Linked DNA regions of Caenorhabditis elegans. The protein of the gene in region 2 interacts with the protein of the main gene of each other region in a pairwise test. Each region holds a gene or a part of one and is shown on either strand. Other genes may lie near its edges. The genes, in order: hlh-8, hlh-2, cnd-1 and ngn-1.

Region 1 (8,346 bases), on a different chromosome or scaffold from region 2:
AGATAAAAAAGGTGCGCTTGTTAGATAATTTTAATAAAAACATGGTAGCCCATTTAATTCCAACTTCACTACAAGTTTTTTTAGATTAAAAATGTTTTTAGCGACTTACTAAACGATTTGTGTTAATGAATACAACACCTGACACCGATTCTTTAAATAATGATATTGATGATAACACAATTGATCAAGATACTTCAACTGATTCATTCACATCAACTGATCCAAAAAACCGGCCAGGTAAGCTGAAATTGTACTTTTTTAAAACAACTTCTTTGCTTAATAAATCTTATTGTATAAATTATTCATTTTTTAACTTTTACTAAAAGTTTTTTCAATATTACAACTTTTGAATCAAAACTCTTCATGACGGAGTAAAAAATGTTTTAAAGGCAAAGTAGCGCGAGTGGGTAAATTGTTTCAAACTACTCCTATAGGACCAAAATAGTTAAATATCATAGTAAAAATTTTCAAACATGCTTGAAAATTTTTTATTGACAGTAAAAAAGTGAAAATTGTACAGTTTTTGCCACTCATAAATTTGGAAGCCGACCAAAAAAAGTTTTCCCACGATTATCATACTTTAATTCTGTTTCAATTATTTGTGTTAAGACATTCTAATTGTCGAAGCATTCTAAATTGCTCTGGATTTCTTTTTAAGATTTTTTTTTCAAAAATTTGGCACTTCGTCTTAACTTTAACTGGAAATTTAAAAAATTTAAATTTAGATTTAGATCTATGACCATCCTAATAAAAATGCAAATCTTTCCGATACAATATCAGTAATTTAGTGATAACTCTGTTTTTCAGTGCTTGGAGTAGTCACTAGTCTTGGATGTCAGTACCGCCGTGGTGAAGCTCTTCAAACGAATTCCGAATGGTGTGGGTTGTGCAATTTGTGTTGGCAGTGGAGAAAGCTTCCCGCCGACTATTACCCCAACTATTTGAATGAGGTCAATTGCGACCACAACGACGATGGATGCCTTTCAGGTATTTGACATTTGGGCTCCGATGGGCTCGTTTTTTTTCATAGACGCCCATCCATCACGCCGCTGACCCACACTTTTTTTAGGATTCGGAGAATGCAAGCCAATAATGAGGACGATCAATGTGATGAGACAGAATGGCGATGACTGGGTAAAAGAGTCAATTGATACCACTACTGGGTGTGAATGTCAAGTTGAAATTGGTTCATCATTGCATGGCTTAGTGGTCAAATGATAATTATGATTCAAAATTTTTTTTTACGTGTTTGTATTATAGTTTGATCATATTCACACATAGTTTCTGTTTGCGGGATAAACTTGTTTCATTTAACAATGGGCTTACTAATAGTCTCTTGCAAAATTCTCAAGCAAATTTTTAAGTTTTGAGCAAACGAAAATTGAAATCGAGTAGATATTATTAGACAGATTTGATACATCAAAAATGAGAATAAGGCACTATATCATGAGGACTATGTTGATTGAGAAGCATACATTATCAAATAAATTAGGAGCTGGCCAGTTTTTTCCATATTCGAAATTATTGCCAGTGAATTGGAGTGAGTTGATTTGGATTTGAATTGGGATTTGGAGTTGAGATGGGACACAGTTCATGAAATTCTTCTGAAAAAAAAACAAGGTGACGCGAATTCTCTTCAAAAATTGTACTTTTGTACTTTGACAAAAAGGATTTGCAGGATTACTGATGTTGTGCTAGTCAGACTAAACTGTTTTATGACCCACTATAAAAATTTGTATCAGTACAAAAACTTACGTTTTGGCGGCGGACAAGTCTGATACCAAGGCTGGGGCATCAGACAGTGTGGAGGAATGCTGGATGGAGCAGGAGGGGGAATATGTGCTGAAAAAAGTGAACTTTGTTTTTAAGACACGAATTTTATTCTCATAAGAATTTCAATCATAACAGTTTCAATTCACTCTGAAGCTGAGAATTTTCATTGTTATAAGTGCACAAAGGAAGCCCAGTACACTGTATTTCCTATTACTCCTGCATGTAAGACTAATTGTCGGTAGATTCGTAGAGATGCAAGACTAATAGAGGCTGCAAAACTAAGCAAAGAATTTTAAATTTTGATGATAATTTTTACATAGGTTATATGAAAACAAGTACGACGTTTATAAGTTCGATAAATGTTTAAGAAAGTGGTTAACTTTTCATTTATCCCTGATACAGTTTCCTATAAGATAACATAAAAGCTTTAGAATTTTAACAGCTAGAAAATACTAGTGCTGTTATTAGCCCCATTAGCTAACTAAAATTACAACTGAAAATTTTGAAACGAATTGTTTCTACATCAGTTATTACCCCATTATTTTGATGTAGTCAATTTTAGGTTCGTGTAAATTGATGATCAAATAATTCGGGAAAAATGATAGCTCTAATCATAACCTGACATTTTTCGAAAATATTATAATCCATTAAACTCAAAAAACGTTTCGTACTTCTATTTTCATAGTTTTGCCTAATTTTGAAAGCGGAAAATGCTAAGTTTATGAACATGTTCCAGCCTACGGAACAAATAAAAAATTGAAAATGAATTAACATCTTTGCTCACCAGATTGTAGTGGAGGCAACTGTGAAGGTCCAGCAATTGGTGTGTATCCATTGTTACCCCTCCACATATTGAAAGCCGACTGTAAATTGTATCCACGTTTTTCGTCGAAGATCGAATGGCCATACAGTTTGCATCCATTTTTTTGCATCTGAAATTGTTTTATTCAATTATCCCACAGTATCTCCAACTCAAAACCTCGTCAAGGAAGGATATGTAATCGGTTGCAATGCGTAGTGTGTGGATCTTGCTCATCTTGTCTGAGGGCATCGACGGGATCAGTTTACGCAAAAGTGTGAAAGCGTCATTGAGTTCCTGTAAACAAATCATAATACGAGTGATCTAAATGTTTTTTTTCGCGCATAAACAGTAGATAATGTTTATAAAGCATAAACATATCAAGATAGAGAAGAACTCATTAGGTCATTAGGATAGTTGTTATCACAGTTTTCGGCAATTTCCGGCAATTGCTAAAATTGACCAACTTGCCGAAATTGCCAATTGCCAGGTTTTTTTTGGTAGTTTTCAAACATAATTATATTTAGAAAACACTACCGCGTTTTTGTATTCATTTAGGTTTTTTTTGAAAAAGGGCTTAACGCCACGAGGTTTTGAAGTTTACGGCAATTGGTAGTTGTCGTGCACTTTTAGTGATATTCGGAATGCATTGCAATTTGCAATAGTTTCAAGACTCCATTTGGCGTTTCAAAGACGGTGTGGAATTACTAATTAACTTAATATTTTGGTAATTGTTTTTAAAAACTGCTAACAACTTAGACTTTATTTAAAAAATCGCCATCATCAATATCTTTTAAATTCGGCAAAAATATTGCTCAACCATCACTCATTTTCCCCATCAAAAACGTTTTGTTTAGCTAGCGCCTTGGCTCAGAAATGTCGTCCGTGGAAAGAAGAAAAATAAGTTTTCTGCCTTCAGCCTCTCTGATTCCTGTGATATTTTGAAATTGTCTCCAGATGTTCTCAGGATTCAGAAGGGACCTTTTCTTTTTATTGCCCCCCACCCTCTTCTCCCATCTCGCGTCTTGCATCTTCCTCTACCGTACTCCGAAAAGCAACTCAAAATTCTTACGGAAGGAGTTGAGGAAGTGGTTTAATGTTAGCCGTAAACGAAGGCGACGTTAGGAGTTTTGGAACGCAGCGAGCTAGCGAGCATGCCAGATGATGAGCCATAAACATTGCGCGGGAGAACAATAAAGTGTGTCGTCGAGCCTGGCGGTCAGGGTGATATGTGAAACTAGTTATTGAGGTGTCGGAAAAGTGTGAGATATGGCTTGGGAACGGAAGCTGTAAATGATATGCGATATGCGAAAGAGTCGTGTTCAATTTGGTTGCCGAGTTATGGTTTTAAAATTGGTTCCCCGGTAACATTTTTTTGTAACTAATTTTTTAAATACTAGATCGTAGGGGGAAGTAGAAGTAAAGAACTGGAATATTTATATAAATTTTGAAAAGAAGCAATGGCTCTACAGTTCCAATTACAGAATAATACCTTTTAAAAAAGTTCAGAAACGGTTTTGACGCAAAAAAACATGTTTGAATATTAAAAAAAGCACATTTTTGTCATTTTTTGATGTCGAAAAGACCGAAAATCATGTTTATTTAGTCATACCTTTTCTTTGCGAAATTTAGTATTTTATTCCACGTTTATTTCCTCGATACGGGTGAACATACTTATAATCAACAGATTTTTTTCAAATTTTGCGGATTGATCTACTGAAACTGTACCTTAATCAATGGAAAAAAACGTGAAAAAATTACCAAAGCGTGCAATGAAGGGGTATGGATTACAACGATACTGAACAGTAACAGATAATCTTAATGACCCGGTTTTTTTGGAGTGTTCGCTCACTAATTTATAGGATTTCGTGTGAAGGGGATATTTCATTGCTTACATGGCTAGCACTAATTTTATAATTCACTCAAACTTGATAACTTCAGTTGAAAATTCGACATTTTATTGCTAAGAAGAGAAAAATTTGCTCAAATATACTAATTACATAACAAAGATCAAAAGTTGTTCTCAACGCAAAACTGTCATTGAAAAATTGTGTGAAAGTCGTACGCAGAATAGATGCAACAAACAATGACCTGACTGACCTGACATGGTTTTTTTCATTTATAAAATGATAGTATCAATTCTAGGTTACTATGTTTGACTACGTTAAAAAAAACTATATATTTAATTTCTGTTTTTTTTTTCGAGCTGCTGATCTAGGTTGAAGCCTCTAAAATAACATTTTGAGAGAAAGGCGGTCATTTTCAAAATATATTAAACAACCCGAAACTCTCAAAAACAATTGAATGAACATTTACCTTGGTCCTTTGACGTTCCCGTCTGTTGGCACATGCTCTCTGCTGCACATTTTCCACTTCATTCTTTCGAACCACGCGTTCTCCTTTTCTACGAGCCACCATCTGTGAAAATCATATTTGAAATCGGTCAGTTCAAGTAATAAACATATGAAAAGTAACACATTAAAAAATCAACAAAAAAAACATACCTGGAACGTTAATGAGTGGAAGAAATGAGATCCAAACATATGCGTAACAGAGGATGGGCGGGGCTCCGCTACGAAGAATCTCTGCAGCGGTCCGCTTCTTCTTCTTTCTCTCGTGACTGCTCGGTGAAAAGAAAGGGGACGGGTGAGAACTCTATGCGGACAGTTATTCATGACTTCTTCTTTGTTTCGATAGTTGAAAAATTACCGCGGAAAAAAGAATTTGAGAGTGAAGGTAGAAGCAAAGCAACCTACACTAACACATAAAATGGTACAAATGTAGTATACATTCGAAAACCATTGAAACTGCTCCAAAATTTAGGAAAGTTGTCGAGTCTCTAACCATAGTTCAGCATGATTTCAGTGTTTTGAAACTGTTGAAAATTTAAGAAGAAATCTTGCAGCCCAATTTTAAAGTTGTACTTACTGAATTGAAACTTCACATCTTTCAAAAGTCCCATTCTATACCATCATGATACAAAATCAAGATTATGCAAATTGGTTTGAATATTTTATTAACGGTTATTCAAATTATCATTTTCGAAGTTCCAGTGACCTTATTCCTGAAATACTAAATTGTTTCAAAGTGTATTGTTTTCAATAAGTTTCATTATGAAATTGGGTGTTTGCAGACAATTTTGAGTCTAATAAAGCAATAAAAAAAATTCGACTACACCACTATTAAAATACTAAGGAAATGCGGTAATTAAGTAGTTTTGGTAATTATGTATTACATGTTTTGAGGCATAACTTGACTTTTACCGTAGAATTATTATGGAATTATAAGAATCGAGATGAGCGTCCTCGTTTAGTTAAATTTTGTAAATTCTTTTCAACTTACCAAACTAACTAAAAAATTTCGAATAACAGACAAAACATACTTCAAACTGTATGTAAAATAAACCCAATTATGACTAAACTCTATGCAAGCTCATTCCACGGATCACAAAAATATGTCAACCAACGAAACCTTGAGCAAATACATGATGTGCCGCAATACAGATTCCTTCATAAAAACCAAAATTATTGTAGTATAAAGTTAAACTTTTTTTAAAGATTTTTCTTTTATTGAAATTATGTCTGGTATTCGAAAAAAAAATTTCTTACGTTACTTGGCATTCTGTGTTTTCAATCTATAATAGTTGTCAATTAGGAAAATCGTTAGGACATACCATTAAAAAAACACACATAAAATAAATTTGTTTAAATCTGAAGTATGACATAAAAATGGAATTTGTGATTTCAAGCTTAAATAAAATCAGTAATTTTTGTTTTAATTTTTTTTCACATCGATATTTGGAATCAAGGGAAAATTTGGAATCAATAAAAAATATTTCCCAGGTTTCGGTAATATTTCCCATGTTTCCCATTTTCCTCGTTAGACTTAGGAATGGTGTTTTTCTAAGTAAGCCTGAAAATATGAAAGCATTTCACACGTTTTTTTTTAAGTTAAAAAATTTATTTTTAAATTGGCGGGGGTACCCATATTTTTTATCAAAATATGTCTTGATTCATAAATAAAACTTGTCCATTTTGTAACTCCAATTTACCGTAATCTTTTGTTAATCAGTAATAAACAGTTATTAATTTTAAAATCCAAAAACTCTTTTGATTTATCCAAAATGAGTAACATTGTCCATATTAAAAATCCGATAATCGTAAATGGTTTTGAATTCTTGATAAGAATTTTCTCAGTTTTGCAAGTAGGCCTTAAAACTAATCAATTATAAAAACAACAAATTGCCTACTTACTGCATTACTCAAAAAAAAAAGTCAAATAAATGTGCTTGGCGTTTTGTGTAGTTTTTTATTAGCAACAAAATTAAATCTAAACAAAAAATGTTGATGATGAAAAATGCTTAAGAAAGAAAAACTATAACGTTATTCTTCTTGTCGCATAATTAATGAATAATCAGTGGGCCCGGTTGAATTCTGATAAACAATCAGATTTACATTTAAAAAAGTCAGAGTGTCATATCAAATTTACTGCTGAATCGACATTCCGACATTTCAAATATACCCTATTGAAAAAAAAACGAAGATCGGTTGAAAGGGAAATCAGCAAGAAACAATTAAAACGGGATCAGGGTGGAGGGAGTCTGAAAGAGATTTTGTGGAAAAGGGGACGACCATGTAATACTGTGAATTCACGGCAATGGTACAAATACTGGGTGAAATGGATTGCGGTATCGATGAGTCAACGGTTGGGAAAAAACTACACGAACTGGCATCAAATCTAGAGAGCGATAAATAGGAAATGCACGTTTAAAGAACAAATTTCACACATATGAAAAGGATTTCTCAGTAAAAATTGTGTCTATTAACAATGACAGAAACCCAATTAGCCTGGAACAATTAAATCGATGCATACTGAGTTTAATGTGTGAAATGACATGGTTGAAAATGGGTGGGAGAGGAAATTAACAAACAAAAACAAGAAAATGGTAAATCTTTGGGAGCAAAGGCGAGTAAGTAAGATGCTATGTTTGGGATTTTGAAAGCTTTTCTATTTTTTTTTCGGGACACTAATTCTAACAGGATTTTGAAAACTTTAAACAACTGTGTTTGACAGATGCTATCAAGAAACTGACACAACGTTAATGTGACCAAATGTATTATTGGAGAATTCAAACAATATCCTGTGGGAGTTGGGAAAAATCATAAATCTTCGAAACTTTGTCAAAGAGGATCGAAGTCCGTCTTAGGAATACTTTGGTGAGCACTACGCTCTGCTCATAATTTGTGCGAAGATCAGTTCCAGCTGGGAGAGTTTCAGCTCGAGCAGGAGCAAAGTTGAGGAGAGCAGTGAGATAGTCTGAAAACGATTCAAAGTTAATTCCCATATGAAGGATAGGAAATTAAATAACTCACTAGTGTAATTAAAGCTTGTCGAGCAATGTGCAACTTTGCTGCCAATTTCCAAAACCATCATTTCATCTTGCTCGCTGAGCTCCACGCGATTGCTTAAAAGTTTTATCGTCAAGTACAAGAGCTTTGCTTCGACGCACTCAGTGACCATAGAGCTTCCTGTCTTGTAGGAGATAAGTTGTCCGGCTTTTTCTACACGGAGGTACATTTTCTTCATATCTTCGAGCCCTTTAACAATTGATCCGCGTTCAACTTCAGAAAGGTCAAGCTTAAAACCAAAAAAATTGTATTTAGAATTCTTGGCAAAAACTTACTTCGTCCAGTTTCTTCAAAGAGTCAAACATCAGCAGTTTTTCCACCATATTGGCGTTTTCATCAATTTCGGTAATATCTACTGGAACTGTT
Region 2 (7,970 bases):
AATCCGGATCCTGGAAACTCTGGATCTTCTTTTGCTCTGTGAGTTTTCAAGCCTATATCTAGATTCAAATAACTTAAAGACTTCTCTTCAAATATTAATTGAAATTAAGAGTGTCGATATTCCGAATTTTCATTTTTCATTGTTCAACAATACAATTGATTGGAATTATTCAAAACTCGAGCAACCATTCCTTTTTCAGGTATCGCGAAAAGCAAAAGAAGATGGCCACTGATTCTGCAAAAGTTTACAATGGACCTACAAAAAAGGAAAAGGATCCAAAATGAGCATACATCCAGTCGAGAACATTTTTACATTTACTTTTTTTAAAATTTATTTTTGTTTCAATTCGTCTTTAAATGATCTGCGTCTCTCGTTTTTCTCATTATCGTAAATATTTTATTGTTGTATAATAAATCGCAGTTCTCTACTTGTATGTCAGTAATATCCCAGATTCACCTTCTCACCTTCACCCTTGTCTACTCTGAAGATATGACCATGTGATGAACATTTGCGACTTTGATTTATTGATGTGTCTCTATAGAGAACAAGGTGTTGAGAAGAGACGCAAAGAAAACGACTGAAAAAGAAGAAAAAGGGTTGGAGGGAGAAGATTGAGCTCATAGTGGAGCCTCCATCATCATACCCGACTGGTCAGTTCAACAGATGCGGGATATCCTGGTTTCTTTGTGTATTTTCTTGGTTTTAATTGGAAAAAGTGACACGAAATGGTTTGGAAAGTTTGGCAGATCACAAGCGAAAGGACTTCCGGTGATTCTCGGTGAGCTTTTGTTTTATTTGATTTCTTAACTTTAAATCTTTCAAGTCGTTCGGTCGGTCTACTGTAATTATATTTCTTTATTTTAAATTTTAAATTTTATATTTTTGAATTACATCCACAATTGTTCAAGTTCTCAGTTCTGATGTTTTATTTGATCAGAATTGAAAAGATATCTAGTACTTTCTAATACGAGTTCTAAAAAGTTTCATACATTCCAAATTAGTTTTAGTCCGTTTTTAGCAAATTGGAATTTAAAAAATCGCAATAAATATATTGTATAGTTTTCAGTGCCTGGTGATGGAGGCAGCCAGCTGGAATCAAATCTAACGGGTAAACCATCAGTTGTGCATTATGTTTGCTCCAAGCAGACAGCCGATTATTTTGATCTTTGGCTTAATCTACAACTTTTCACACCTTTGGTTATTGATTGTTGGGCTGATAACATGCAGTAAGTTTCATTATTTCCAGAGCAAAGAAAATCAATTTAATAACATTTCAGATTAGTGTTCAACACAACCACAGGATTGTCTGAAAACATGCCAGGAGTTGACATTAGAGTTGCTGGATTTGGAGCAACTGAAAGTGTTGAATGGTTGGATAAGAGTAAAGCATCACAGGGAAGATACTTCTTTGATATCGTTGATTCGATGGTTTCATGGGGTTATCGAAGAGGAAAAAATGTCATTGGAGCACCTTTTGATTGGAGAAAATCCCCAAGTGAGTTGAGCCTTCAGAATTAAGAGAATACATAGGTTCATTTGTTTCTCATAGAAATTGACATTTTCTGGTTTATACCCGCGCTAAAAGTCCGCGTACCGTTTGCGCCAACTTTCCAATTGCGAACTTGCTCACAAAGATCAGCAAAACCGTTTTTTTGCACTCCGAATTACCAAACCAACTTTGTATTTAATTCTAAACAATTTCAGATGAATTAAACGATTATCTCATTCAACTGAAGTCCTTAATTGAAACCACATATCGCTGGAATGACAATCAAAAGATCGTACTCGTCGGTCACAGTATGGGTAATCCCCTTTCTTTGTATTTCTTGAATAATTATGTGGATCAGGTGAGATAATTGAAAGGTGTTAGATGAAATAACACTTATTGTTTCCAGGCTTGGAAAGACAAATACATATCGAGTTTTGTTAGTTTGGCGGCTCCATGGGCTGGATCAATGCAAATTGTTCGATTATTTGCATCTGGATATAATATGAATTATTATAGAGTTATTCTACCACCGAGTAGCTTGAGAGCAATGCAAAGGTAAGCACTTTGAGGTGTTTGGAAACTTAAAAGTGAAATATTTACTCTTATGGTGCTAAGACTACCAAATTATGTTTTTCTTCAACTTATTTGGTTCTTCAGATCATTCTCCTCTTCGGCCTTTCTGTTTCCAAGTCCAGTTGCATGGAAACCACATGAAATATTAGCGACAACTGCTGACAAAAACTACACTGTTGGAAATATTAAAGAATTCTTTCAAGACATTAATTACATGGTTGGATGGGAACAATACAAACAGGCCGCCCGTCTGAATGGAAATTTAAGTTCTCCAGGAGTTCCAGTTCATTGTATTTATGGAACAGGAGTCCCCACACCGGAAAAGTTTTCATGGGCTCCCGGATACTTTCCAGATTATCCACCAACTGAATTCATGGGTGATGGAGACGGGACAGTGAACAAAAAATCAGCTACAGTGTGCACTAATTGGATTGGAAATAATAATGGTTATAAGGTTACTGTACACGAAGTATTTCAAGCTGATCACATGGCAATTCTTAAACATCCAAATGCAATTGAACTTGTCCGAAAAGCCATTTTCCAGTTAATTTGAGTGATGCAAAAAGGGTTCTGAATTTTAAAATTTTGTTTGTTTTGATCAAGGTGAATGAATTATGTTTGTATCACATTTTTTCCCGTTGTTGACATTTTATACATCCAATATTCCTATACATCAGTTTTGACAGACCATGAAAAAAACATCTCGTTTCAACGACTTAGAAAGTCAAACTAAATGTCTAATTATAAATGGGAATCCCTTTCAACATAAAGTGGAATCCATACTGCGAAGGACATTAGCACTTCATCGGAGCTTGGATAATTAAAGTGTTGAAACAGTTACCCAATAGAGTAATTCATGTGTGAAATTAGTTGGCGGTGTCTTTTTTTTTGAGTGGACCATTTCATTTCAAGTAGATACTAATTAGCTATGGTTTATCACATACACACACACAAAAAATAAGACAAGTTGGAAGAAGTTGATTGAATGAATGAATAATATGAAAGTTAATTTTAATACTTGAAATATTAGAATTAGCTATTGATTGATTTAAATTTAGAGGAGAAAATAAATTAAAAACATACAGAAAATTGTGATGATCTTGTAATAAAGTTTAAAATTTTTAAAACTGAAAACTGATTGAAGTTGAGAAATCACAGGACCTCCAATCCGGAGGGAGATGAAGGGGAACATTTGAATAGTTTGAACAAAAAAACAATATGCTAGAGAGTTTTAGCCGTATGGATGATTGGGAGAAGATTGGGAATGATAGTTTGAAATGCTTAAAAAGTCAATTTTTAAATTTAAAACCGTGGATGTCCAAACTGCGCGGATGGTGCATTGTCATCAAGCATCTTCATTTTATCATCATCAGGTTTCCTTTTCATTCCAGCCATCACTTTTGGATTCATATTTCGTTGACGAACCTGTAAAATTATAAATTTCAACTTGTTCAGTGTTTTGTTTAAATTTTTCGAATAAATTCCATCGCAATGTTATGTGCTTCAAAGTCAAAAATACAGCAGTCGAACAATTGCCAATTAATTTTGTTCACAATTTGAATGTTTCTTTAAAATATGAAAAATTATCTAACCTGTTCTTCCAATTGTGTAATCACAGATACTGCATTGTGTAGAATTCCCAATTTTGTTTGATTCCGTTCTGTATTCTGATTGTGCTGTGTGCACATTCGTCCGAGCTCTTTGAATGCCGAATTGATGTCACGAACTCGTACTCTGTAAGTTTTTTGTATTAGATTAGATTTGGAGATATCTCGATTAAATTACTATGTAATTGTCAATTTCCAATGTTCAATTCAAAACGTCTTAAAAGTAAAAAACTCCTCACCTTTCTCGAGCATTATTCTGTGATCTCCTATCCGTATCTTTGTCATCACTCATTGATTCATTATCAGAAAGCCTTGAAGACGATGAATGGCGAGTTGGAATTCCAGAAGATGGAGGGCCTTGTACCCGACGACGGCTCGTTGCTCTTGATGCAGACTTATCATTTCGAACAGATGATGCACTTGATCCTGGTGGCATTCCGGTCATTCCTGGATATCCATTTGGATCAAAGTGTGGGCTCATACCGGCTGGTGGGAATTGATGATTGTAGTCAACCAAGTTGGTATCTCCACCAAGACCATTCTGCAATATTTCATTGTTTTTGGTTTTATAATTTCTATAACCCTCATCTAAAACTACTCAACTTTTTCTCTCAATGAAACAAAACAAAGAATTAATTTCATTTGCCTTGCTAGTCAGTTAATTCTCTCAAATGGTACTATTGGGGGCCGAGTCAAATCAATCGATCTCTTTAATGTACTGAACCCCGCAATGTGACCGTCTCTGTTCACCACTTAATCATGCGGCGACGTCGGTCAATAGCCCCCTTCGGTTTTCGAGGACACCATCAGAAAATGTGACCGGCTATTGGGTAACAATGCAAAAAGCAAGAGCTTCAAATTTTGGCCAATTTAGTTATTCACTAGTCAGAGGTTGGATACAGGGATTTTACCATATTATTCTAGATTTCTCAAGACTGGAACGCAAAAAAATGTCATCAGGGTCTCAAAACTTTGTTCACGACAACAGTAGTTCAGAATCTTAATGTTTAGTATTGTCATATGGCAAAAATTATTTTAAAGAAAACTGAAAGAATCTCAAAAATTTCCTCCAACAAAAAAAGCGATAAACTTTGCCTAATTATGTAACTAATCCATCTTTTCTGTATGTTTCTCCTTGTTTTATGTTTACATTAGTGACTTTTTTGGAGGTCGTTTAGTGCGCACAGGGTGTTCTTCTCAAGAAGATGCCGCCTTTTGCATGCATCTCAATCTTCAGAAGGCGGCGGCTCACATCAAAAGGAAGCGGATTATGCATACGTGAATGCTTGGCGGCTGAGGAGGGCCAAGCAATCATTCGTCGAGATTAACTTGTGGTAAAACAGTAAAACACGAATAAAACCAAGAAGAATAGAAACGTACCGGCTGTCCAGCAAGTTGCTGCTGATACGATGAGAAGTCGGCAACTGATGGATCAGCACCAAATGTATATGTTGGAGGGATTGAGATGTATGGATTAACAGCTTCACTTGCTTTGTTATCTTCTGAAGGTGGAAGGTAACCTGGATATGTTTGTGGCCATGTATACATTGATGACATTGCGTCAATTGGTGCGGTAAGATTAGTAAGAGGCTGTGGAGCAACAATCGCTGATGTTTCTGCAGAATTCGTGGCTGGAGCTGTTGTTGGCTTTAACTCAAGCACATCAGTAGTTGAAGTTGGAGCTGGAGCAGTAGATGGAGCCGTCGTTGAAGTGGATGATGTTGCATGAATTGGCTTAATATCAGATGTTGCAGAAGTTGGAGCAGCTACGGAAGCAGGGGTTTCAGTTGGTGGATGTGTTGGAAGGAAGGCTGATGAATAATCAATATCCGTTGTTTGCATCGGAGGATACGGGTTGAGATGGTATCCTGAAAATGTTTATTTAGATGACTTGCACTTGAGAAATGAGATATAAACATTTTGGTTAATAAACTACTTACTAGAGCAAACCAGATTTTTACAAAATTTTAGAACATTAAAAGAGTTATACATTTTGTTTCAACTTAAAGTAAATTTTAAAAATTTGCGAGCTTATAAAATCAACAATTCAACAATTCGAGATAAGTAATACCAAACTTATATCCTTTTTCTGCAATTTATCCAATATTTCTAACTGATTACAAGCGACTTTTAACAAATTCACGAAAACATGTTTGGTTTGGTTTACCAAATGATATAATTGAAATTATAATAGATTTCAAATGAAAAAAAGACTAACCACTCCAATAATCAGGCATCTGAATCGTTGTCGGATCAATATTATAAGGATAATCATATGCATTTGGAAGCATAACCTGTGGTTGAGCAATGGCGGCAGTTGCAACAGTTGTGGCTGACGTAAGTTGGCTATTTGGATCCGCCATTGAGGTTCTGAAAACTTTATTTCTGCGAAATGATATGAAAGACGATTATAGTAGTAATGTCAAAGAAATAAAGTCAGCGGAGAAGCGGGGAGAGGAAAGGGAATAAGTAGGGAATTGGGCTGGAGCAGCAGGTGAAAAAATTAGGTTAGTAAATATATTCTGATTAGATTTTCGTCAAGACAACCCCATTTGAAGAAATATTGAGAATAAGAAAAAGAAGAAAATAATCGATTCTCCTCGTTTGGTTAAATAGGCAAACGAGATCAAAAGAGGCAAGGTAGATCAATAAAGAATAATAATTGTGACGTCACAATAGATCTACTAAGTTCCGGTATAAATTATTAGGAGCAAGTTACTTGAAGGAGAACAATTTGTAGGGAGGTAATGATGTTGAGATGGTATCAAGAAATAGTTGTAAATGTAGATGTCATTGTAGATGATTATCGGATGGATGACATCCCGAAAGAGCAATAAAATAACAGTAAAGGGGTGATGGATCAAAGGGTTTCAGGCCCATCTAAATAATTAGTTTAAATTCAGACGTAGGATAAGATATATATGAAAGCTTTAAACGTGAGCTAGTAACATTTCGGATGCAAATATACATTTTTTGATAAACTCAATAATTGAAAAAAAAACTGCCCTACAATACATTTGCGTTCTTGTTTAAATTCAAAATTGGTAAGGATTCGTAAACATTGTAGGAGTGAGAAAAAGTAATGCAGATCAAAATTATTTGGTAAAAGATCCAAAATTGAAAATTGGGAGGAGAGAAATTTTAATTTTCAAAATCAGAAGATGGGATACATTATGTATTTCATTCAAAATATGTGCTATGTTTTATTACAGTAAGATCATGAACTTGAAAAGCTAGTAAACGGAACAGATTTAGACACAAAAAAAGACGAAAAGAGTGCACTCCCCCCTTCTTAGCGGCTATGCGGGTGGCTAGGAATGGTTCTTCGAGGGTGGTGGTAGTGGAGGGACGCGTATAAAAGCCCATTCAAGGGACATAAACAGTATATTGGTGTACATAGACGCAGACATTCTTTCTCCCGGGGACCGTCTACATCCAAGAGACGCAGAGACGATGATCGGGAGAGGTCACGCCCACAACCATCTCTCTCTACCTCCTGCAGCACACAATCCTCTATTATCCCGGGGTCCTCCATCTCTTCTCCCACCATTCATTCACCAGTCTTTTTTGGGTGAAATGAGAGGAAAATGGGGGAAGGATTGAATGAATAAGGGGATTGAATGAATAGAAGAGGTCAGCTCTCTTGGGGGAAAATGTCGCCACCCGACTGTAGGGAGTACATTCATTTTTGAAGCATGTTATTAGAGTTTTGTAGGGATCTCTGAAATTTTAATTCTTCAGAATATGGTAAGAGTGAGAGAAAGAGTGTGCACAGGAAAGGGGTATATTTTATTAGAATAAAGTTACTCATATTCACAACAGAAGTTTCAGCAATCACAATACTGTGGGACTACTCGAGTCTTCAAATATCTTGAGCCATATCCTAAAATTGTCTCTCTGTGGTAATAAACCAACAATTATAAAAAGAAATGATACTTCCAATGCCCGTCTCTAAAGTGCATTTTTTGACAGATGTTGTCAAAAGTATACGGTACTGGAACTTTTTTCTCGAGAGTATTTGGGGAGGTGTCTATTGTGGGACGGAGTGCAGCTGTCATCAAATTCAAGTGCTCAATGGTTTGGTTAGAAAAAGTTAGAAATACGGTAATAATGACGAATTTGTTCTACAAATATGATTAACTAAATGGTGATACTTATTTGAGAATGTTGAAAAAGGGATGCAAGTAAAGATAGGTCTCAATCAGATTTCAATCATTTTAGAAGATTTATCTGATCATTGACAGATCAAATAGGGTATTTTATCTAGATAAGGCACAGGAAACCGAAACTCAACAAGTTGC
Region 3 (8,542 bases), on a different chromosome or scaffold from region 2:
TAAGAATATTCTTATGATGTTATCTGTAGTTGATCAACACGCTATTTCACTTGGACCACTTCCAGCAAATGAGGTTGGGGAGAAATTTATCAATTTTTTCGTTTTTTTTTCGGAACAAAAATGTTTGATTTTCCGGGAAATCGAAGAAAAATATGTATAGAATCATTGGAAAACGGAAATTTTAGATTTTTAGATTATTTAAATAGAAAAAGTAACAATTTAGTATCGAAAAAAATAATGTTTTTTTTCTATTGAAAAATTATTTTTCAAAACTATAAATAAAATATTTTTATTTATTTTTTAAAAATCGAAATTTTTGATTTTTCAATTTTACGGAAAATCGAAAAAATTGAACAAAAAACAATATATTTAAACTTTTTTTTTCTTTTTGGAAAATCTAAAAACAAATGTTTAGAAAATTAATAAAAAAATGTTTACAGCTCCGCCAAAACACTCACCAAATGACAGCAAGTCTTATTGCATGTGGTGTTGATCCAAACCGAACTCTCCTTTTCCGACAATCAGATGTTCCTCAAATTGCCCAAATTTCATGGATTCTTGGTTCACTTCAAACAACTTCAAAACTTGCAAGACTTCCCCAATATAAAGAAAAAAAAGAAAGATTCAAAAAAGGTGATATTCCAGTTGGACTCCTTACGTATCCTCTCCTTCAAGCAGCTGATGTTCTTACATTTAAAGCCACAACAGTTCCAGTTGGAGAAGATCAAAGTCAACATTTAAATCTTCTTGGAGGACTTGCTTACGCATTTAATAAAACTTATGAGACTGAAATCTTTCCGATTCCAAAGCAGTTAACACGAGAATCTCATGCAAGAATTCGATCATTAAGAGAACCTGAAAAGAAAATGAGCAAATCATCAGGAGGACCGAGGAGTCGTATTGAGGTAATAATTTCACATTTCTTACTGAACAAAAACATATTTTTTGGAACAGCATTTAAGAAATTGACACTTTGAATCAAGAATCTAAACTATAGCAAGTTTCATCTACAGTACCCTTTTCAGATCACAGACAGCCGTTCCACAATTATCGAGAAATGTCAAAAAGCACAAAGTGACAATGCTGGAAAAGTGACATATGATAAGGAAAACCGGTTAGCTGTTTCCAATTTGGTATGTCCTCTAATTAATTTCAGAACCTAATTTTCCAATTTCCAGCTTGATCTCTATTCGGCAGTCACCAAAACTCAAACATCAGAGATCGACTTCTCAAATTGGACAACTTTAGATTTGAAAATGAATTTGGCTGAAGCAGTTGATAAACGACTAGCTCCAATTCGACAAAAATTTGAAGAATTACAAAATACTGGAGAGGTATAATTTTATTCGTTTTTTGGCTTCTCTTCAAATCATTCCCCAGTTAAACTAAAATTGCGGCCATCTGTGTTGTCAAATTTTTGATTTTTGCAGAGCTTTTCATTCTTAATTTATCCACCTTTCAGGTTGACAAAGTGCTAACTGAAAATGGTGAAAAGGCTCGAGAAATTGCAGAAAAAAATCTAGAAGAGATTCGTCGAACTATCGGATTCTTGTGATATTTAAATTTACGGATGTTTGAATTGTTCAGTTATTTTTCGTTGTTGATTTTACTTTTTACTTAGAGGATATTGTTGATTTTTCATTTCGTCTATTCATATTTAGGTTAAGTAAATTATTAATGTTTTCCACGCATTTTAAACATCTTCGAATATTCATTGGCTGTATCTGTCAATAGTGATGATATAATTACACCCGCAATTATCTTCTTCTTTGCTTCTCCCCACACTATTTTTGGTGTTTGTTTTAGGAGTGTAAATTATAATTATAATTATTATTATGCTCTCAGAGCAGCACGGATTCCCAGGAGGACTCCCCCCCGTAAACATTAAGTGGCTCTTCAGTTATGGAACTTTTTTTCATTCTTTGTTTCGATCTTAATTGGACAGAAAATCTTGATCATGTGAACGTTGAAGACTCGGGAAAAGGAAAAACGTTGTGAAAAAATTGAGAAAAATATTTTATTACATGACTATAAAAAAAAACGTTGCGGACAACACACATTCCGATCACGTACTCGATATCTCGCCGCGATCGTACCGTAACCTACCGTACTTCTAGCATTTTGTTTCTGTTCATTCTATATTTTTTCTTTATATTTCTAGCATTCTAGCAGTCATATTTTAAAATGAAAGAGAAACAAAAATGGAAAATTACTGGTCAATACTTTAAAATAATTTATTTTTCAGTTCAACTGGATGTATAAATGTAGTGACAAAAATAAAATTAAATAACAGACCCGTAACCAAACAAATCAGAAATCAAAGAAAGAGACTCTCAACAAATATTTGAAAAAAAACCGAAACTTATGGTGAATAATTAAAAGTATTCTGATGGGAATGTTGATGATACATTTGTTGATATTGTGGATCACATGATCCTTGAAGTGGAGCAGCTGATGGTTGAGTTGGAGAATAATAATATTGAGGTGGAGAACATGAAGATGATGGTGATGATGATGAGAAGGATGAATGTGGTGGTGGATGAGATGGATGAAGTTGATGATGGGATGGATCAGAGAAGATGTCGAATTGTGATGGTGGAAGGAGTTGACGAGGTTGGACCTGGAAAAGAGAGGGGATATGGAGATTTTGGGTAGTAAATTGTTTTTACTCTAACAAAATATGGTAAATGTGTAAGAAAAAATGGGTTATACAAAGCCCAAATCTTTTAGATTCATCTATTCGAAAAAATTATTTCTCATTTAAAAATACAGCACGCGGTCTCGACACTTGTTTTGTAAATCAGCTAACAAGAAGATAGGCAAACTACAGTACTAAACATTTCCTATGAGTTTAATATTTTGACTATGTTTAAATTAACTGTATTTGAAACTTCTGGAGGACTCCGAAAATTCAACAACTAGTTAATTTCGCTAGCGAAAAACTATCTTATGACTTCTAACTTCAGTTATAAGACAATACCAAGTTATTTAATGAAATGCTCTCAAAACCTTACCTGCAACAAGTTAGCCAACATATTCGTGGTAGTCTGTGACAATCCATTGGCAAGTGTGTGAGCATATTCAAGTGGAGTTGGTTGTTCGTTTGTTTGCAACATTCTTTGAAGAGCATCAATGTAATTCCTGAAATATTTGAATTAATTTGGAAATATTTTATGGGTTTAATGATGACTATGTTCATAGTTAAATCGTTAAAATTCTTATTTGGAACGGGGGAGAATCATAAAACTTAATGACAGCGAGCTGGTAATTAAGAAGAGTCTTTCTATATTCTATTCTATTCAAGACGGCTTGGAAATTATATAAATCACGGAATTAATTATGAAAATTGAAAAAAAAGTTATTACCTCGTTTTGGAAAAAATGTATTTAAAAAATCTAAACTTTTAAAGCGAAGTTTCAGTTAATTAGAAACACTTTAGAAAAATTAGAAGAAAGCGCCAAATAACAAAAAATCTTACCTTGCGAGTCTCAAAGTCTCAATTTTGCTAAGTTTCTGATGTTGAGTAGTAATTGGAATATACTCTCTGAGCATATCCAATGCATTATTCAAACCATGCATTCTTGCTCTTTCTCTTCCATTTGCTTTCACTCGTCGAACTTTTCGCTTTGAAATTTCGGCTGGAGCAAAGTTTGAAGTATCAGTAGGACGCATTGTAGAAAATATAACTGGATGACAGGGAAGTGTATAGTGAAAGAGAATGAGCTACTGATCTGGTGGATGGTTCACAGAAGGAGGGGCGGGGCTGGTGGAGCTGGGTGAACAGAGAGCCCGTGGTGTACAAAAGGGGCGGGATGTTCGTTGGGAAGGATGGAATGGTTTCCAATGATAGCATTAAAAAGTTCTAAAAAGATAAATTTACAGATGAAACTTTCGAAAAAGTTTAATGTTGATGTGTCTTACAATCAGATTTTAGAAAACTTGCTTAAAATAGGAACCTTGCATAGAAAAATACTTTTAAAAAAAACTTTTAGCTCTACTTTATCTACTTTTTAGAAAACAAAATATCAAAATGTTCTAAGTATACCAACAAGGCAAAGGACTCTTAATTATGTTCCAACTAAAAAACTGCATTCCAAAAAGTTAATATTTTTGAATGTATGTGCCAAACTTGTAACATGATCGACACTATTGACTATAAATATTAAAATACGAAGCTTTATAACATGTGTGGAATGGTGTTCCACATTTCAATAAATCCCTTCCAATAGATAAAAAATTTGTTCTGAAAACGATCCAGTTAACAAAAACGCTCGTGCTTGTAATTTTAAAAATCTTGAAACATGCTAGAAATCGTCCACGGTAGTTCAACTACTCCATATTAATTACAGTATGATTTTATCTCAACCAAAACACATGCGTGTCACCGATTAACATGTTATTTGCCTAAAACAGTAGCACTATCTCATTCGTTGATCTTCTGTTAGATCCGGAGAGCATGTCAGATATGCACGCAATTGCAATTTGTAATTTTAAATTTCGAAATATAAATAGATTTGAAAATTGCCGTGAATTTCTGGAATTGCCATTAATTCCCGCCTAACAAAGGTGTAGAGTGCCCATTACTAGAAACTTGTCAGTTCAAAATATTTGACCTTTTACAAATCACAAATGTCAATGAGCAGGTGTCAAAGTTTCATGAAACAATGAAAATCTCTGTAATCCTACATACCAGAGGTGTCAACTGTAATATTTTCTTCCTTCCTGAACATAATCCAAGTGTTCTTCTGGGATCTCATTGTACTGTGAGACTTTTGCCAGGGGTCAATATAAACAATACATCAATATGAAATATTCCACAAAAAATTCTGAAAATCAAATTCTGATTTGAAAATTGAGATCATAGATTGTCTTATTCTTTCAAATTCAAATATCATCGTTTTTTCGATTCCGAGAGTGAAGGTCCAAGAGTGAAAACATATAGTCTGAATTTTTGTTCTATAGGATCTATCGATACGACCGTTATCGAAATAGAGTAGTATACATCCAGTAAAAGTTGTTATGTCATATTTCTCCAATTATGCAATGATGTGCATCAGTAAATGCAGATATCATCTAATTACCAAGAAAGGTTTTATAAGGGTCACACAATTCTGTAACTGACATACTCTTCAAGATAAGTGCACGGGATGTTCTGAGAAATGTTCTAGATAGATCACAGATATTTGTTGACGCGGGAACTGATTGGAAGTTGATAAGGTCTTTTCACAAAAACGATGGTTTTGAAAAACAAGTTTTTTTCTTCATTGCATGTTTTTGAGACTTCACTAATCTGCAGATTCTGTTATTAGTTGGTAAGCATTCAGTAAGCCTTTTAGAGCACTTTATTAGTCACTTTTTGTTTTAAAACATGAAAAGGTTGGTTATAAAGTTAACATATTTTATCAAAAAATAATATAATAAAAACCTAATCTTACAAAAAAACATCCTAAAACCAAGACTAGTTTTGGAAAAAACTTCAGCGAAAAAATTTACTGAATACATTTCAGTTTGTTTGTTTTAGTTCAAGAGAAATGTACCACTTTCGCGCAAATAATGAGTTAATGAGAATCTCACTTAATGCCAATTAACTTTCCATTTAAATCATAACTGTTTTCTTTTCTTTCCTCTATTTTTTTCTAATAACACCCTTCTTCCGGTAATGGCCTCAGTCCATCCTCAAGCTAACCTAAATTGGCAATAATTAATTCAAGTCCTTCAAATGTCTTAGTCTCCTATACTCATGTGCTATCTAGCCAGCTGCCACCAACAGTTGGTCATTCATCTTTTGAAGAGACTAGGAAAAAACACAGAAAGAACACTTAAATAGTGGCCCGGAATGGAAGGAAGATAGGCAAGTACTTGTGCAGATTTTTCCCCGTGGAATCTAGAATCTCTGAAAATTATCGAAAGCGTCCAAAAATCCACTTTTCGAGCAATTTGAAAAGGCTCGAGATTATTTCTTTTGACACTGAAAAATTAAGTTTCATGGATATTCTAAAACCAATAATTTCACAATTTGATTATCACATTTCCTCATTTGAGTTCATATACCTTTTGTTCTGCTAGAAACCAAATACCAAAATTTCACACCTCTTGACTCATAAATCCCCTAGTTGAATTCCATCCTTTGACAGTTTGGTTACCGCATTGCATCACACCTAATTAGACCAATTCCTTGTCACTGTCACACATTTCTAAACGGATTTGGCACCGTATGTTGAACGTTTTCAGGAGTACGGGCGGTATATTTGTATGATGATGCAAGTCTGTAATTAATCTTTCAAGACCGATCGGTGGGAGGAAGAGAGCAAGCGGTGCGGTTATTAATGAATAACAATATGGTTGGTGCCTAGGTGATGATTTGGTACAATAATTGGGTATATAGAAAGATATAGTAAAAAATATTTTCAACATTTTTCAACTTATTAAAAACTTTTCAATTAATTAATGAAGGAATATCGTTAAAGAGGATTTTTTCTAGATCTACCAATAGTTTTGGAAAAATTCCAAATTATTTTTTTTGCACATTGCCATAGTTTAATTTTTGACGAATTGTCCAAGCAAAACCTTTCAAATAAGGGTATTCCGAATAATTTTTTGTGAAGTGTTTCCTCTCCTGAACTTTTCCCAATTTTGTGATAATATGTCAAATAAACCAAATATTATTGCAACCAAATGCGCAAACATTCACATATATCGCGCATGTAATAATCATTAAATACACATGTACCTGTTACCATATATCTTTTTTATTGACAGATATCCTATATTTGTCTCTTCCCAGCAGGTGTTCATCGCCCTCTTCATGACTTCTGAATAAATACAGACCGGATGGATACAGTGTATCACTACAAGTATGCGCGAAAACTTTCAAGTATTACTAGAGCCACGTGTCATAGCTGTTGACCGTTAAATGAGCATGAGATGAGCTCAAGTGAGTGAGAGTACTTGTTGAGGATTAGCCCATTTGAGAAGGGAAATTGTAACAAGAGAATGGGTAACAGGAAGTTATGTAATCTTTATTGTTTCTTTTTTGTTCTGATTTAAGGAATTAACAAGCAGATGGAGACTAGTTGTCAACGTGTCAAGTGGAGATGGTTTATTTTTTGAATTCTCATGAGAGTCTTGGTTTAATAAAATGGAGAAACTTATGCAGGTTTAACGGTCTTTCTTTAATTGTATTTTTATTTGGAAGTTTATGCTCTCTCTAGTTTATTTTATTTGTTTGTTATTCTTTGCTCTGGCCTAACCTAAAAAAACCATTCATAATTTTCCGGTTGATCACCCTATTCTCTAAATACCGTAACCTAAGTCTTAATCACGTTCCGTCTGTTTCCATTTTCCCCTTTTCTTCATACCGAAACCTTGCTAATGCTCATCACTCATTCGAGCTGTGACCAAAAAAGAGCCGCCACCACAACCACCGTGCTCAACGAAAAATGGTGGGTGACGACGGGAAGGAAATCAAAACGATTTGACAGTTGAAGCATAGTGGAGAGAAAATGGGTGAAATACACGGAGGGATGGAACCAAGCGAGATGAAGATTTATTTATGTTCGACCCAATAGGAGATAATGGAAAAACAAAAAGAAAACAAACCAAAAAATAGAGAAAATTCTGGGGAAAACATAGCAATTGAAAAGAAAACCATCTCGAATTAAAATTGTAAGATGCTCGAAATACGATTTCCGGTCTTGACATGATTTATTTTTAATGGAAGTGTGTGCCTTTATGGAGTACTGTATTCCCCAACTCCTCATTGCGTTCAGTTTTCAAAAATGTTTTTACAGTATACTTTAAAAGTCCATACCTCTTTTGTCTTTAAAATGTAAAGTATTTTTAGACGAAAAAAGCGCAAAATCTCGTAGTTTATCAATTCTCGTCATCTTGCAATAACGGAAATCAAACTTATTTCACACCAATCGAATATTTTTTCAAAAAGTGTGACCATCTGCTCTGTGTTTCCATAAAAATCAATCACCTTGAATGCAGACGCGGAACAAAATCAAAGCATCAAATATGCAAATTTTTGTTTCTTTTTCAAAGTCGCACAGGGCGGCCATAATTATGTATGGTCTTGTCGAAGGAAAAGCTTTTGAACAAAATTGATGGAGTCACCTACGATTTTAAATTGTTATAAAACTGTTTAGGTAGTGCCAAAATGATTGTATGTATGAAATATTCTAATACTTTCCAGACTTTCAAAATTTACAATTTCAGTTAAAATTTGGTAAATTGCCAAATTCCGGGTTTTCTTCAATTTTTTGCGAAATACACAGAAATAACTTTTTGAATTTAAATTTAAATACAAACAATAGAAACATCATTGAAATATAATACCCGAGGAGAAGTAAATATATTTTTGGTAGAGTTCAAGAAATTATAATATTTGAAAACTGAATAATTGTAACTTTTTGGTGGTACTACAAAAGTTTTGAGATCCCATGTTAGTAAACTTGAAAGTAGTAAATAACTATTGTTATTATTCTTATTGTTACAATTAGTACTTGTTTACAACTTCTCATCTTTATCTACCAATTCA
Region 4 (6,922 bases), on a different chromosome or scaffold from region 2:
ATGCTATGCTCATTGAGCAGTAATCTGTCACTAAAATTTATTACTGGTCAACATTTCAGGCAAAGGATTTACAGAAAGAGCTCTCTTGGGAAATCATTTGCAAATCCTCCATAATAAAATACTATATAGGATGGGTTGATTTACAGTGTGGAATTTATGGGAAAAATATGTATTGTGCATTGTAGGGCTTCCATGTAGGCGTTAGAAGCCTACCTGCCTGACCTAAAAAGCTTTATGTAAAAACATACGTTAACATTTTTTGAAAAATTAGAAATTTGTAAATTCACTTCAAAATGGAAAAAAGAGGCGAAAGGCGGGGGAAGGTTTCAGGCAGGCGCCAGGCGCTCATGCGCATTGTTCTATAATTAGTTTTAGTAGTTTAAAACTTTCTGATAAAACCAAATATAATCGAGAGAGATTTATGCGCTGTCAAATTTTGGGTTGATATGCACCATGCTTGAACAAAATTTTTTTTACAATTGTTAAAAATCCTAAAGCAATCATCACAATTTTGGGTAAAATTAGCATGTTCCCCCCAATCTAACCCTCTCCTCGCTTCATGATTTTGATGCGAACCCCAAGCTTTCTCTTGTTAAAACGTCAAATTTCACGAGCAATTAATTGAAATTCATAGCATGTGTCTTCTGCGTCTCTCACATTTTCACACACTCTCTCTCTCTCTCCCTCAGTTTCCACTGGGGTGATGATTAGCCTATTACGGTTTTGACGACTTTTCGAGAGAGAGAATCAGGAAACCTTCTTGTTAATCACAGGTGTCAATGTTTGTATATAAATATACAAGCTAATCTCATTAAACACCATAATCCTAATACACAGTAGGCAGGGAGGGGGGATTATTCCGTAACCTTTGGCTACTCTATTATTGGGTCAATAGGTATCAATTTGCACATTATATGTGGTATGACTATTTTTTCGAAATTTGGAAAAACTTATACAAAATTACAGAAAGAGAAATGGTACATAATTTGTTAGTTGACAAGTTTTTGATAAAACCAAACACAGCGGAGATAAGCGCTATCAAAGTTTAGGTAGTTTATCGATGCACCATGTCTTCAAGACCCTATATCTCGATTCATTAAGGTGATATCAGGAAGTGTTCAACTACAAAATTATAGAAAAAGAAGTGGTGCATATTTTGTTTGTTGACAAATTTTTGATAAATCCAAACACAGTGGAGATAGGCGCTAACAAAGTTTAGCAAAGGTGGATATCTTGGTTGTCTTTGTTTTATTTTTGAAAAATTGATAAATAAAACGAGTGGAAAATCAGTACACAAATAGTTTGCTGGTTGAAAAAGTCTTTGGTAAAACCGTAAAAACCAAAAATATCCGAGATTTAAGCAATAACAGACATGGTGCATCGACAAAAAAATTATGAGCTACAAGATTATAGAGCAGTGAAATTATAGTATATTCTGATATACACTTACACCTAATGGGTCCCTCAACACTGTATACCGTTTCCGTCAGTTGGGATCTCCACTAACACCTTACACTTTTTAGACCTCCAATTTTGATCAAAATTGGATGCCTATCGGCCTAAAAGTTGTCTCAATCAACGAATTTCCGCGAGATAAATTACCAAAATAAGGATTAAAAAGATGATAATTTCAGAAAAAAAATCCAAAATCCAAAATTTCAGATTTTAGCAAAATTTGGCTCGTTTTTTTTCCAAATTTTGACCGGCCATAAAAAAATTTTGGAAATTTTTTGTGAAGTCTCGTTATGAAATTCGGTGGTTTTGAACCAGTTTTAGTCTATTTAAGCAAAATACCCACAAACTCTACCCACCCCCCCCCCCCCCCTTAATTTCAAATATAAGCAAGATATAAGCTGTCAAAAGTTAAACAAGTTTTTCGATGCACCATGTTTTTGGACTCAATTATTTTGAAGATATTAAAGATGTCAAATGTTTAAAATATAGGAAACGTATTGATAAATATTGGATAACACCAAACACAACAGAAATATAAGCTCATGAGTGCATTTTTGTACTTGTCGGAATTTTGAAAATCCCAGAAATTCGTAATCGAAAATTAAATAAATTAATTCTTAACAATTATATTTGGTATATTGGGTCTGTATTCTGTCATTTACTACAAAAAACAACATTAACTGATATCTTCGAAATAAGCCACGATGTAAAACAAAAAATTGGGTTAAAAGGTTTTCCTCGTCGATGTAGGTGTCGTTGATCTCATTAAAAAAATTGCAAAACAATCATATAAAAAAAACCAATAAAATACCTATTATCTCTATTAAACTTCCTACATGCACCATGTGCACATTTGAATATATTTGAATTCAAAAATAGTTTAATTGAATTAGTTAGCTTATATCTCGATTTTCCCTGGTTATATCAACTAACAAAATACAAAGTATTATAAATGTTGCATTATTTTCAGCGATTAAAAAAATTAAAATTTTTTCTTAAGCCAAGATATACGCTGCCAAAGACATGGTACATCGAAAAATTTCGTTTCACTTAACTTTGATAGCTTGTATCAGGGGTGTGCGGCAAATTTGCCGAATTTGCTGAATTTGCCGTTTGCCGAGCTCGGCAAATTTGCCGAATTTGCTGAATTTGCCGTTTGTTAAGAATTCAGTAGTTTTGGTGCTCCAGAAAACATAAAAAATATCAAATTTTTCCGAGTTTGTTAAGCACGGCAAATTTGCCGAATTTGCCGAGCTCGGCAAATTTTGAGATTTGCCGCACACCCCTGGCTTGTATCTCGGTTATCTTTTTCGCTATCAAAAAGCTGCCAACTAACAAAATATTTGTTATTAAACGCTCTCCCCTATACAAGCTACCTGTCTTTCTGTATTTCCGTATAAGTGTCGTTATCTCCACTCCCACCCCACCAGTTTCTCACCTTTCAGAATGTACAGTCTTCCGGTTTGCACCTCTATTCCTCTTTTTCGGCGAGCTCTCCTACTCTGAAAAATCGCACCCCACCATATCTCCAGACTGGTGTTCCGGTTTGTTTCCCTTCTCTCTCTCTCTTTCTACCCCGCCCATCTCCTTACACCCCGCCCCCTTTATGTCCCATCTGTCATTAGTCAGTCATTTTCCACAGTGGTGCCCCCACCCACGTGTTTTTGTTTTGCACAATGTACCATCATTCACCATTCTACCCGCATCATTTGCAAACTGGCGAGCAAGATTTAGATATGGAACGAGAAAATGATATGGATCAGGTTAGTTTTGGTTTTGGAAAAATGTTTAGAGAAATTTAAAACCAAATAATTTTTTTTTCGATTATTTTTTGAAAATTTCCGCAATTTTCTGAAGGTGCCAGATTTTTAAAGGTGGTGTTGTCGAGTTTTTTCATTGCTTCATTAGCCTTACAATTGTCTGAAAACGCCGAATTTCCTAATGAATCTTGAAAACTTCAAGTTTTAAACTATCGTAACTCCGTGGAGGTGGATGCTACAAAACATTTGTAAACTAACGTAATGTTGCAAATTTAATTTGTTTCATTTTATTAGTTAACAATTTTTGATAGGATGTATGGTTCCCGAGATATAAGCCTTCAAAATACTCATGGTATTGTACAGCTGTAACTTTCCTCGTGTAAATTTAAAACTAAAAAGTGGTAGAAAACTTCAAAATCTTCAATTTGTCAGTTGACAGTTTTTTAATAAATTTCCCGGTTAATGAGATATAAGCCTTTAAAGTTGTAGAATGATTTTTAGAAAACACCAAAATTAAAAATTGAATACATAGCTGTATCTAAACGGCGGTAATAGTTATGCAAAACTTGTCAACTGTCAAAATACTAATCAAACAATTTTCTACAAGTTGTTAGTTAACAACTTTTTAATAACTATTATGGCTAATAAGATATGCCCGTTTAAAGTTGTCTCAGCACACCCGAAAACTTTGAGTAGCTATATTTCGGCGGAAACAAAAACTGCTGAAAAATTGCTAACTAAAACATATTAAACAAAACATTTTTCTACATTTTGCTAATTAACAATCTTTAAATAGCTCTTGCAGAAATTTCAGTAAACTGTTTTTTTTCAGAAAAAAATGTTTAAAAAAAATTCATTCTCTATAACTTTGTTACTGTTCAAGCCATTTAAAGGAGGAGTACCAAAATCTAAGACTTTTTCTTAGACTCAAAATTACCCAAAACTACCGAATTTTGTAATGAGACGTTTTGAAAATTTCTCAAAGTTCTGGAAAAAATGGCACGTTTTCAGCTAAAATCAAAATTTTGGCACCTTTTTTGCCAGAATTTCGAACTGGCATAACTTTTTTTTGAGAAATTTTCAAAACGCTTCATTACAAAATTCGGTCGTTTTAGCTAATTTTGAGTCTAAACAAGGTCTCAGAAAGGTCCCTTTAATTCTGTTTTTGAGCTCAAAATCAATTCTCATTTTCTCTTTACAAATTTAATTTCAGAACTCCAAGAATTCTACACAAAAGCCTGTAAAACGAGAAAAACGGAGATATAGATGCCGAAAGCGGAGCCCAGCGACAATCGAACGAGCAAAAACCGTCAGAAGAGATAAGGCTAATGCTCGAGAACGTCGGAGAATGAATAGTTTGAATGATGCGTTGGAGCATCTACGTGGCATACTTCCAGCTCTTCCAGATGAGCCAAAAATGACGAAAATCGAGACTTTGAGGAAAGCCCAAGAGTTAGTTTTATTAAAAATTCGAATATTTTAACTATATTTCCAAGCTCATCAGGATCAGAAAAATTATTTTCCGTAGCGTGGATTCGTACCCGGCACTATTTTCCCCAAAAGCGAACCTCTACCCGACTGAGCCACTTTCTCAACTTTTTATTTGAGAGTTCAAAAAACGGCTCGAATTTAATAATTTTGTCTAAATTTTCTGGGTTCAGAAAGTTAAGATTTTTTCTTTAAAAAAACATTCTAAAAATCTAAAAATCCCAAAAATTCCAGATACATCGCCAGTCTAAGCTTCCAACTATCCGGCGGCTCCCCAGACTCCTCTCAGTGCTGCGAGACGGGTTCCTGTGGCCTGTGCTCCGCGAGCCAATCTCTTCAGTCCACACCATTCCAATCACCATGCTTCCCACAACCACTACAGTACCCCTCATCCTACAGTAATCCACCGTCGCAAATGTACTACCATCATCATCATCAGAGCCCAAGCTTCCCACATCATTGACACAATTTTTTGTTCAAAGTTTTTTTTTTCAGAAATTTCACATTTTTGGGTATCGTCTAGTCAAATTTGCTCTCACTTGGCATATTTCAATTTTTTTTTGTAAAGAATAAAATTTTTTTTTTTTTCGTTTTGAAACATTTTTAAGCCACTTAATTTGGTGACCTAGAAATTCAAATGTTCGGATTTCTAAGCCACCTTTCTTCAACAGCTGAAAAAACTAATATTGCTGAGCAAGAATGCTTTTTCAATCTTCGAAAATATAGATTTTGAAGCGAGTTATAGGCATTTGAAGTTGGTGACCTAGAAATCCAAATTTTCAGATTTCTAGGCCACGGGGATCAATTTTTAGAAATTGATAGAACAAACTTTGCCGTTAAAGAACATATGCTTGAATTCTTGAAATACGATTTTTGAAACGAGTTATAGGCATTTGAAATTGGTGGCCTAGAAAATTGGGGGGGGGGGGGGTGGTGGGAAGTTAGGCCATCAAATAGAAGTCGTCATAGGCACCAACTTCAAACCTGCCTAACTTTCCTTAAGATCAATATTTTTGTATTTTGGCACGTTTCGTACATGGCCTAGAAATCTGCAAATTTGGCTTCCTAGGCCACCAACTTTGAACTTGGCTTTTAATTTGTGAAATCGAAATTTTGAAAAATTTTAAAACACAGTATGAAAATCGGAGATATTTATTGATTTTTTGCATAGGAGATCATATAAATTGATTATAAATTAGGTATTAACATTTTGAAAATTTTCGAAAATTTTTTTGTTTCAAAAATACATATATTATTATAAAAAATTATTACATAAATCAATATCGCATAGACAGTTCGTCGTCGGAAATTGTATTTTTCGTCGATGGATTTTCCGAGTCCTCCAGCCAAGGAGCATCGAAATCGTGGTAGATGGGCTCCGCGAGCCATTTCTGAAAAATTATTTTTTGGGAATCGATTGTTTAGCGATCTATTGTATTTTTACCATGAAAAAATCACGTGTTTTCAGCTCGACCATTCGGTGTAATTTGTGCAAACACCGCCACGCGCAAATGCAGACATTTTTGCACGCGCTGCGGTGAAATTCCTCTTGGGGAATTCAAATATTTTTTCCCGCCATTTTTAAAAATTTTCGAGGCGTTGGTCGAGCTGAATACACGTGAAAATTACCCAAAAAGAAACACTAAATGCCAAGGAACAATTTGAAATTCTGCGCTAAACAACACGCGCCTGCGTAATTGTGGAGCATCGTTTGAAACTCGTTAGAGCCCATTTTAAATATCGATTTTTCGCCCGGTAACTTACTGTTTGAATGGGTGAGATGAATTCCATTGCGACAAGGCAATAATACGTCTGAAAATTTTTTAATTGGTTTTTGTATTTAAATAATTAATTTAATGAAGTTGTCACTTACCAAATATGCGATGAAAATAATGTAGAAAATCGCGCAAAAAATAGTGATTGGAATAGAAACTGCATTATAACCAAATGTTGATCCAATCCAAGAGTATAAGAAATAAAAGTTGATGAATAAAATTATCAAGGAAATCACAATGGAGACCACTTTGGAGACACTGAAAATTTGAAAATTATGGCTAGAAACTTTAAAAGTATATTATCTAGGGAACCGTATTAGTTATAAAAAAGTTGTTAACTATAAACTTGTAGAGCCGGAAATTTCCTATATATTGTTAGTTTACAAATTTTTTATAGCTAGTGTGGTTCAGGAAATATTACCGTTTAAAGTTAAGGGCTGCACA

Evidence for each region.
Region 1: the proteins of hlh-2 (region 2) and hlh-8 interact in a two-hybrid assay, tested with the Caenorhabditis elegans proteins (2 studies listed by BioGRID).
Region 3: the proteins of hlh-2 (region 2) and cnd-1 interact in a two-hybrid assay, tested with the Caenorhabditis elegans proteins (2 studies listed by BioGRID).
Region 4: the proteins of hlh-2 (region 2) and ngn-1 interact in a two-hybrid assay, tested with the Caenorhabditis elegans proteins (2 studies listed by BioGRID).

The regions. Positions count from the first base shown.
Region 1 is NC_003284.9:8,113,282-8,121,627, reverse strand, and holds hlh-8 (Twist-related protein), read right to left. Parts: upstream 5,172-8,346; 5' UTR 5,077-5,171; intron 4,991-5,076; coding exon 4,889-4,990; intron 3,864-4,888; exon of another isoform or gene 3,717-3,863; intron 2,870-3,716; coding exon 2,753-2,869; intron 2,706-2,752; coding exon 2,558-2,705; intron 1,843-2,557; coding exon 1,756-1,842; intron 1,605-1,755; coding exon 1,522-1,604; 3' UTR 1,288-1,521; downstream 1-1,287. Other genes in the region: C02B8.12 (Cpw-wpc domain-containing protein), read left to right, coding at 1-11, 102-237, 808-987, 1,070-1,218; K07E3.1 (Bromo domain-containing protein), read right to left, coding at 7,701-7,888, 7,945-8,209, 8,256-8,346. UniProt on the Caenorhabditis elegans protein: Acts as a transcriptional regulator. Involved in postembryonic mesodermal cell fate specification. Activates ceh-24 and egl-15 during mesodermal patterning.
Region 2 is NC_003279.8:7,187,876-7,195,845, forward strand, and holds hlh-2 (Helix-loop-helix protein hlh-2), read right to left. Parts: upstream 6,046-7,970; 5' UTR 6,033-6,045; coding exon 5,888-6,032; intron 5,538-5,887; coding exon 5,050-5,537; intron 4,211-5,049; coding exon 3,909-4,210; intron 3,797-3,908; coding exon 3,655-3,796; intron 3,488-3,654; coding exon 3,365-3,487; 3' UTR 2,913-3,364; downstream 1-2,912. Other genes in the region: M05B5.3 (uncharacterized protein), read left to right, coding at 1-38, 200-284; plag-15 (PhosphoLipase A2 Group), read left to right, coding at 664-778, 1,067-1,226, 1,278-1,495, 1,705-1,847, 1,896-2,044, 2,147-2,615. UniProt on the Caenorhabditis elegans protein: Transcription factor which binds the E box motif 5'-CA[TC][AG]TG-3'. Plays a key role in the anchor cell/ventral uterine precursor cell (AC/VU) decision; required for VU fate.
Region 3 is NC_003281.10:5,238,373-5,246,914, forward strand, and holds cnd-1 (Neurogenic differentiation factor 1), read right to left. Parts: upstream 6,268-8,542; 5' UTR 3,673-6,267; coding exon 3,479-3,672; intron 3,142-3,478; coding exon 3,015-3,141; intron 2,621-3,014; coding exon 2,363-2,620; 3' UTR 2,219-2,362; downstream 1-2,218. Other genes in the region: prx-10 (Tryptophan--tRNA ligase, mitochondrial), read left to right, coding at 1-73, 441-905, 1,026-1,133, 1,179-1,334, 1,463-1,555. UniProt on the Caenorhabditis elegans protein: Acts as a transcriptional regulator whose activity is required for several aspects of motor neuron fate specification, including cell division patterns, proper spatiotemporal expression of fate-specific markers, and normal axonal morphology and pathfinding.
Region 4 is NC_003282.8:2,624,424-2,631,345, reverse strand, and holds ngn-1 (Helix-loop-helix protein ngn-1), read left to right. Parts: upstream 1-3,074; 5' UTR 3,075-3,131; coding exon 3,132-3,218; intron 3,219-4,428; coding exon 4,429-4,667; intron 4,668-4,937; coding exon 4,938-5,166; 3' UTR 5,167-5,284; downstream 5,285-6,922. Other genes in the region: NRAMP-like transporter smf-3, read right to left, coding at 5,981-6,094, 6,468-6,515, 6,577-6,736. UniProt on the Caenorhabditis elegans protein: Acts as a transcriptional regulator. Regulates expression of various genes, including homeobox protein unc-42 and helix-loop-helix protein hlh-34.